2 linked regions of the Oryctolagus cuniculus genome follow. The protein of the gene in region 1 binds, or shares a complex with, the protein of each later gene. Links are inferred from orthologs where the notes say so. Each region holds a gene or a part of one and is shown on either strand. Other genes may lie near its edges. The genes, in order: GTF2A1 and POLR2H.

What was found.
Region 2: GTF2A1 (region 1) and POLR2H share a complex: the UniProt entries of both Homo sapiens proteins name them as parts of the TBP-based Pol II pre-initiation complex. The link is inferred for Oryctolagus cuniculus from reciprocal best matches to the Homo sapiens genes GTF2A1 and POLR2H.

Annotation. Positions count from the first base shown.
Region 1 is NC_091451.1:27,041,055-27,044,863, forward strand, and holds part of GTF2A1 (transcription initiation factor IIA subunit 1), read right to left. Parts: intron 2,810-3,809; coding exon 2,605-2,809; intron 1,051-2,604; exon of another isoform or gene 907-1,050; intron 479-906; coding exon 414-478; intron 1-413. UniProt on the Homo sapiens protein: TFIIA is a component of the transcription machinery of RNA polymerase II and plays an important role in transcriptional activation. TFIIA in a complex with TBP mediates transcriptional activity.
Region 2 is NC_091435.1:93,931,945-93,936,198, reverse strand, and holds the start of POLR2H (DNA-directed RNA polymerases I, II, and III subunit RPABC3), read right to left. Parts: upstream 2,968-4,254; 5' UTR 2,457-2,967; coding exon 2,384-2,456; intron 337-2,383; coding exon 253-336; intron 170-252; coding exon 76-169; intron 1-75. UniProt on the Homo sapiens protein: DNA-dependent RNA polymerase catalyzes the transcription of DNA into RNA using the four ribonucleoside triphosphates as substrates.

The sequences.
Region 1 (3,809 bases):
CTTTCTGATTAATTATATTACCATACCACATTTTCATGAAATCACATATTTTTTCAAAATGTTGATTTCTATAGCACACAGCACCATTAGAAAAATCAAAACTATTTTTACTGAGTATCTTCGAATTGGGAATTACCCAGTTTTAAACAAACAGGGATAAAAGAGCTCCCATAAAACACCTTTTGGTACTTTTTAAACAGAAAATTACGTAATTTTATGAAGCTTAATGCTGAAATACCAAGTTAAACTTTAGATCTGCTGCTAAATACAATATATAAGAAACTAAATAAAATATCTGTCTTGTTCAAGTCTTCAATAAACTTCAAGTTGTTAATATACAACATACCCAGGCAAGATCCCTATCTGAGTTAGAAGACGCAAAGCCAATCAAAGTGCTACACTATGAGTCTTACCATGTTTGATGCATTCATGTGCTGTATCAGCTTAGAATCAGGAACAATAACTTGAGGTGCCGTGGCTACAAAATAATTAAATCAAATAAACACACATGGAAACAAGGAACCCTAAGGCTATTTCATAATCACAAGTATGTTATTTAATGCTGAAAACTTTTTCTGCATTTAAATGCCCTCAACCCCTTGATACTTCAAAATGTTATACATTTTACAGCATTTAAAGCTCTAGTATAACTGTATCATAACAGAAAACATCAATATTTAAGTATTTAAGTGATAAATTTGAAGGTTGCAAAGGAATTCAGTAAGATGAGGAAATGAAATACTTATCACAACAGCTACTAATTCATTAGGAACAAAATTCAGTTATAACTACTTTTTTTAATCTACAATCCTTTTCTCCCAATTTGACAGTTGCTAGGATGTTACTAATTGTTCGAAAAGTAGAAATTGAAAATAATGGTGATGTTACTTAAGTGTAAAAGGCATTAAATGTTTGATTCCGCAAATTTCAGAGAACAGACAGACAATCCCATTATCCACATAATCTCTGAGTGAAGAAAATCAAATTTTAATTTATGATGACCTAAAATCCTAATGCCAGGCTTGAAAGCATTAGGAGGAACAGTCATCAGAAAAGATTAAGAGTTAAAAATATTTGATAACAAAGGATAGATTTAAAGCAGATATTAAATCTTACTTTATATAAACAGCAAAACAACCCAAAAAGACCTTTCCACTGTGTATCACTATCATTTTTTTCACTTTTTTTAAAAGAATTATGTATGTATATATGTATATATTTGAAAGAGAGAGAGAGAAAAAAAAACAGAGAGAGACTGTGAATTCACTGTTCACTCCTCAAATGCCTACAATAGCCAGGGTTGAACAAGACTGAAATCATGAACCTAAAACTCCATCCAGATTTCTCAAGTGGGTGGCGGGGACTTAAGTACTTGGGCCATTATCTCCTGCCTTTTCAGGTGCATTAGCTGGAAGCTGGATCAGAAGCAGAGCAGTCAGTCAGAACTTCAACCAGTACTCTGATGTGGTATGCAGGCATTAAAAGCAGCAGTTTAACCTGGCTGCTCCACAATGCTTGCCCTTCACTATCAATTTCAAGTCATACACATATATATGTAGGTTAACTAAATGGTTACCTTAAAACAAGCTTTTCATTTACCTTCTTCTCCAATAACAATCAAGATTCACTGAATTAGAATACTTAGTAAGTTTTTAATTGAACATAGTTGTTATGACAGAAAATATTTGCTACATATAATGGATCATGCTTCTCAGCCTTTTTAAGGCCCAGATTTGCCTCAGCTATGAAGCAATGGAGCTAAGAACTATTTCATAGAGTTCCTAAAAGGAGTCAAAATGAAGCCTCATCTTTCTTAGGAGATAGCAGGTGATGACTCAAGTACTTAGGCACCCGCCACCCATAAGAGAGAACTGGATTGAGTTCCAAGCTCCTGGTTTCAGGCTGTCCCAGCCCACACTGTTGCAGGCATTTGGACAATAAACCAGTAGATAGAAGGATCTCTCTCTCCCTTTCTCTCTCTCAGCCTTTCAGTTAAAAATAAATGAAAAACAAATAGTTTTGCATTGTGCATTGTTCATACCTTTAAACAGAGTAATAATATACATCAAGATATATAGATCAACTATTCACATAAAAGAAATTTAATTGTTAATTTAGACACAGAAATTACCATGGTACTGAATTTTCAGAATGCCAACATATGGTTCAAAACTCAGGATTTAAGACATAAAAACAACACCAATATCCCTTTGAAGGAAAATGTTTCATGAAGAAATAACTACTTTACTATATAAAACAATGAAATCTTAGTTAAAAAAAAATTATAAATCTGACTTAAATTTTAGGAAAGCCACCACTATATGTACTTCCTAAAAAACATTAGTACAAGTATCTGAATACTATTTTAGGGTTTCAATCAGGTAATTATTTGTCTATCACTATTCTACAAATAGGACTCACATTTTATACAAATTTATATACATAAAAACATACATAGAAAAGGGAAAAACAAAATCAGTACTTTTTTTTTTAGGTTTATGAAATACCTTTTAAAAACAAGATCCAAGTGACCTAGAGTATTTCTAGTCTTTTAAAATGACCAACTTAATTTCCAAGTAGTTAGGAAAACAGATCTAGTCTCACCTTGCTGTGATGCAGGAATAAGGACCTGCTGGGTCTGGGCTTGCTGAGGTACTGTCTGCTGAGGCTGAGCTTGCTGATGGTGGTGGTGGTGGTGATGCTGTTGCTGCTGGGGTTGATGTTGCTGTTGAACTTGCAATAAAAGTTGTTGCTCTTCTGAATGAAATCCATCTACTGCTCTAGACTGCATTAGTTTATTCTCCCACAACTAATGCAAACAACATTAAAAGTTTAAAAATGAAAAAATAACTCAATACATGGTCAAACATATTTTTACTAGCTATTTATGGAATTCTTCCATTTAAAAACTTACATAGCACAAAAATATAACCTCAAATCTCATCTAAGTGCAAAGGATAATGAAAACAATTTTTTAAAGTATCAAACTTCCTCTTTGCCACTTTAGCAACCTAAAGAAATTTTTGTTTTTATCTTCAACCATCTTTTCATAGCAACTCTTTAATCATCAGCTATTATATAGCACAGAGTTTCAGAAAAAGATTATCCTTTGTAGTATCAGAACCATTATGAAACTATCTTTATGGAATTCTTCTCTTCAAGAATTTTATTTATTTGAAAGGCACAGTGACAGAGACAGAGATCTTCTATCTACTGATTCACTACCCAACTGGCAGTAATGGCCAGGACTGGACCAGGCCTAAGCCAGAATCCTGGAACTCTATCCAGGTCTCCCGCATAGGTGGCATGGGTCATCTTCACTGCTTTCCCACGTGCACTAGCAGTGAGCTGGATTGGAGGCAGAGCAGCTGGGATTCCAATCAGCGCTCTGATTTGGGATTCTGGTATTGCAGGCAGGGGCTTAAACCAATGCACCACAATCCTTCACAGTACTCAGAAACTCTGTTGTTTGCCCCCTTTAAAAAAAAAAAAAAAAAGATTTATTTATTTATTTGAAAGGCAGAGTTACAGAAAAAGAGGGAGACACAGAGAGAAGGATTTTCCATACACTGGATCACTCCCTAAGTGACTGCAACAGCCAGGGCAGGATGAAGCCAGGAACCAGGAGCTTCATCCAAGTCTCCCATGTGGGAGGCAGGGGCCCAAGCACGTGGGCCATTCTCTGCTGCTTTCCCAGGCATTTTAGCTTGAAGCGGGATCTGAGATGGAACATCCATGACATGAACAAGAGCTCATACAGGCCCCCAGCATTGGAGGCAGCAACACACCACAACAATGACCCAAGGAAC
Region 2 (4,254 bases), on another chromosome or scaffold:
GAATTAAACAGTCTTTCTCTACCACTGATCTCAGTCCTCAGCGTGTATTCCAGGCCTCCCATCCCCACTCCTTACCGGGAAGGCCTGTCATCTGTAGGGTTGTATTCCCCATCATCCAGGGTCCCGTCTTCATACAAGGTACTAGCTATGACCAACCGGAACTTGTCACCTGAAAACAGCAGCAATATCTGGGCGTAAAGAATAGCTGAGACGGCAAGAAGCCTCTGTTGATTCTCTGGGTTCAATACTTACCCAGGTCCACAGGGTAAATCTGAATGTTTACATCTAAGATGAGGTCCATCTTGAAAGATTCGCTCTCACAGTGCAGTCGAGACACTGGGGAGAAGCAGAGAGACGGACGATGTAATTACCAGGGCAAAGGCAGATCTGACAGATCCCAGTTTGGGAATTACAGGCAATCGACTATTTAATGTAACCTGATCTACATCCACTGGCCTCTTATGTGCTCTCACAGAAGTGCAGGCACAGGGCATATTGGGTAAAGCCGCCACCTGCAGCACTGGCATCCCAAATGAGTGCTGGTTCGAGTCCCTGCTGCTCTACTTCTGATCCAGCTCTCTGCTATGGCCTGGGAAGGCAGAAGATGGTCCAAGTCCTTGGGCTCCTGCACTCATGTGGGAGACCTGGAAGAAGCTCCTGGCTTCGGATCAGCCCAGCCCATGCCATTGCAACCATTTGGGGGAATGAATCAGCAGATGGAAGACCTCTCTTTCTCTCTGCCTCTGCCTCTCTGTAACTCTGCCTTTCAAACAAGTAAGTAAATCTTAAAAAAAAAAAAAAAAAAAAAAAAGTGCAGGCACTGCAGTGCAGTGGGCAGAGCTGCTGTGTACGAGGTGGGCATTCTGTATCAGAGCACCAGTTGGAAGAGGCTGCTTTGCTTCTGATCCAGCTCCCAGATCACTTTGGCTTCACCCAGCCCCAGGCACTGAGGCCACCTGGGGAGTGAAGCAGTGGATGGAAGACCTCTTTCACTGTCTCTCCCTATCTCTGTCTTTCAAATAAATAAAACAAACCTTAAAAAAAAGAGAGAGAGAGAGAGAGAAATGCAGGCTCGCTCAGAACCAGATATGCATGGAGGACAAAAACCATGGCAGGGGCCAGCGATTGTGGATTAGTGGGCAAAGCCCCACCTGCAGTGCTGGCATCCCATATGGGTGCCGGTTCAAGTCCCAGCTGCTCCACTTCCAATCCCTGCTAATGCACCCGGGAAAGCAGAAGAGGATGGCCCAGGTCCTTGGGCCCCTGCACCCACGTGGGAGACCTGGAAGAAGCTCCAGGAGCCTGGCTTCAGATCAGTGCAGCTCCGGCCATTGTGGCCATCTGGGCAGTGAACCAACGGATTAAAGACCCCTCTCTCTCTCTGTAATTCTGCCTTTCATATAAATAAATAAGTCTTTAAAAATTAATAATTGGGGCTGGCACTATGGCGCAGTGGGTTGACGCCCTGACCTAAGGCGCCGGCATCCCATATGGGTGCCAGTTCATATCCTGGCTGCTCCACTTCCAACCCAACTCTCTGCTGTGGCCTGGGAAAGCAGTAGAGGATAGCCCAAGTCCTTGGGCCCCTGCACCGTGTGGGAGACCTGGAAGAAGCTCCTGGCTCCTGGCTTCAGATCAGCACAGCTCCAGCCGTTGTGGCCATCTGGGGAGTGAACCAAAGGATGGAAGACCTTTCTCTGTCTCTACCTCTCTCTCTTTCAAATAAATAAAATTAATCTTTAAAAAATAATAATAATTTTTTAAAAAAGCATGGCAAATGAATGGAATCCTGCCCCCAAATCAAAATATTCTAGCAGCAAAAGACAGAGTTCTAGGCACTACCTGGGTGATTTAGAACCTGGGTCTGGGCAAGGGACTTCTTCAACCAAAGGTGTCCTCTCCCATGCTAAGGGGATTATCTCACTGAATAACTGAGACTTGAAAAACACCTCGGGCGCCTGGCCTGCACCGCGCAGTTAACTCAGAGGGTCTGACATCAGCTGGAGACTCGACTCCACACAAGAATTCGGGCTCATAAGTCAGACTGACCACGGTGCAGCCTTGGGTGGCAAACTTACCCTCCAGGAGGAGAGGAAGGCACCACCTACCTCCTGGGAACTCTCGAGAGCACTAAATAAGGCAAAATGTGTGTAAGTGAGAGGCGACTGCAGAGACGTCCAGGAGCCTGCCACCACCATGGCACTGGGCACCGCGTGTGTGCAGCCAGGGAGAGCTCGGCGTCTCGGCTTTCTCATCCATAAAAGGTCTCCTGGGAGAGGCCCCTACATCAGGACCTGCCGCAAGGGCAGGCCACGTGAGCCGGAGCCCAGGGGTGTGTCCCGAGGAAGTTAGTTTCTTCGGCCAAACCCCACACCTTACCTACCTCGGTCAAACTTCTTGCCTTCCGGGTCAATGTCTTTCACATCGAAAATGTCCTCAAACAGGATGCCCGCCATCGTGAGGGGGCCACGAGAGCAGCGGAAACGCGAGGAGCGAGACCACAACTACGAGTTAGCCCACTCTCGCGTGGAAAAAGAAGACACTAGAGCAAAAGGCGCCTGAACGCTGGCGGCAGAGCAGCAGGAAAGCGCATGCGCACCAGCTTGCAGTACGGCAGCCACTTCCGCCGCCTCCACCTCGGGGATTCTCAACTTCCGCCCCGATAGATTGCTGGCGAGGGAACACGCATTGAGGGCGTGTCTCCGAGCCAGGTGACTCCGCCCAGGGCGGGAACGCCCCAAGCACCACCTCTGGCGGAGGTGGCTCGGGTTATCGCGCTCCGCTGGGGCTCCGCTTCGCCCTCTCCAGAGTCCGGGCCCTGAAGCCTGGAATGCTTGGAGACTTAACCCAGGCCGAGACCTTGATCTTTGCCCCAGAGAAGCCGGGCCCTAGCCCTACCCTGCCGGTCCTCGTGTCCCCCGAGGGCATAGTCCGCGCCGGGGACGGGTGCAACAAAACTCCGCCCCCAGAGCGCTAGCCCAGCAGGACGTAATGCCTAGTCCCTCAACTGGCACCGAGGGCCCCCAGGTCGGCGGGGGCTGGCTCGGCCCTGCTGGACGTCACCTGAGCCGGGGCCGTCCAGGATATCACTCCGGGGGAAAGGAAAGCTGGCACTGCCCTCCTCTGGCGCTGCACCCTCCCCCCACCACTGCCCTCTTCCCCTGGGCCCTGCTCGCTCCTTCCGCCTGCCACAAATCCCCTCACACTGCCCTACCCGTTAGCAGTGCCCCCTCAGCGTGTGCCGCGTGTTCCCCCAGCACTGCCCTCCTCTTGGATCACTTTCCTGTCTCTTCCTCCCGGGTGCTGGCCCCCTTCTCCCACAACCTCCCTTCCTTGGCCTCCTGCCGCCCTCCTGCACGCCGCGTCTGCGCTCGCTATCTCGAACGCTGCCCGTGCACCCCGTGCTCACCCCACCCTCTGTTCTCTCCTTCCCCGGACCCTGATAGAGAAAGCCAAACCCCAGCAGGCCGTTTCCCCAAGGCGGCGAGACGTCAGCAGCTCCTGGGGTTTTCCTTGGGCCCTGCCAGGAGAAGCGACCTCTGCCCACCCCACCCCACCCCCGACGCCTGCCTTCCAGGCACTAGAACTCCCTTCCCTCGGGCCTTTCTTTCCCAGTCCCCTTGCCCGCAAAATCCGGCGGGTCCGGTATTGCAGGGGCACCTCCTGAGGCTAGCCCCGAGCAAGGGCAGGAGCCCAGAATGGCCCTCCGAATCCCCCGCAGAGGGGCCTTTCCAGGCCCGCCTGGGCCTCCAGTCCTCAGCAGAGAAGGCAGCTGCTCTCACGAATTAGCAGCCCTGCAGCCCCGAGCCCGAAGTCCTAAGCGCCCGGCGGCTCCGGTCCCTCTCCGCCTTGCACGGAGAGCTGTGGACCGGCTCCACGTGCCAGTGGCCCTGCCCCGCCCCGGCCGCGGGCGCCCCTCTCAGTCCTTCTCCGCCGGCAGGCGCGTTCCAGGCGCCCCCTGCCGCCTCTCCGGAGCCTGGGAGGCGGCCCCGTCGCAGACCCTAGCCGGGCTAGGCCGGCCCCTCCGGATGGGCTGGCGGGCGGAGCAGCGCAGAGGGCACCGCCCTCGGCCCGCCCGCCGAGGAGGGGACGGGAGCGGGAGGCCGTGCCAGCGGCGCCCGCCCGGGGCCCGCCGCACTCTGCTCTCGGCCGCCCGGGCTGCGGGGACCGGACGGGGACCGACCGGCGCTGGCTGCGCGGGCGGAGTGCCGAGTCCAGGCCGGAGCCGGAGCCGCAGAGGGAGGCAAGAGGGCA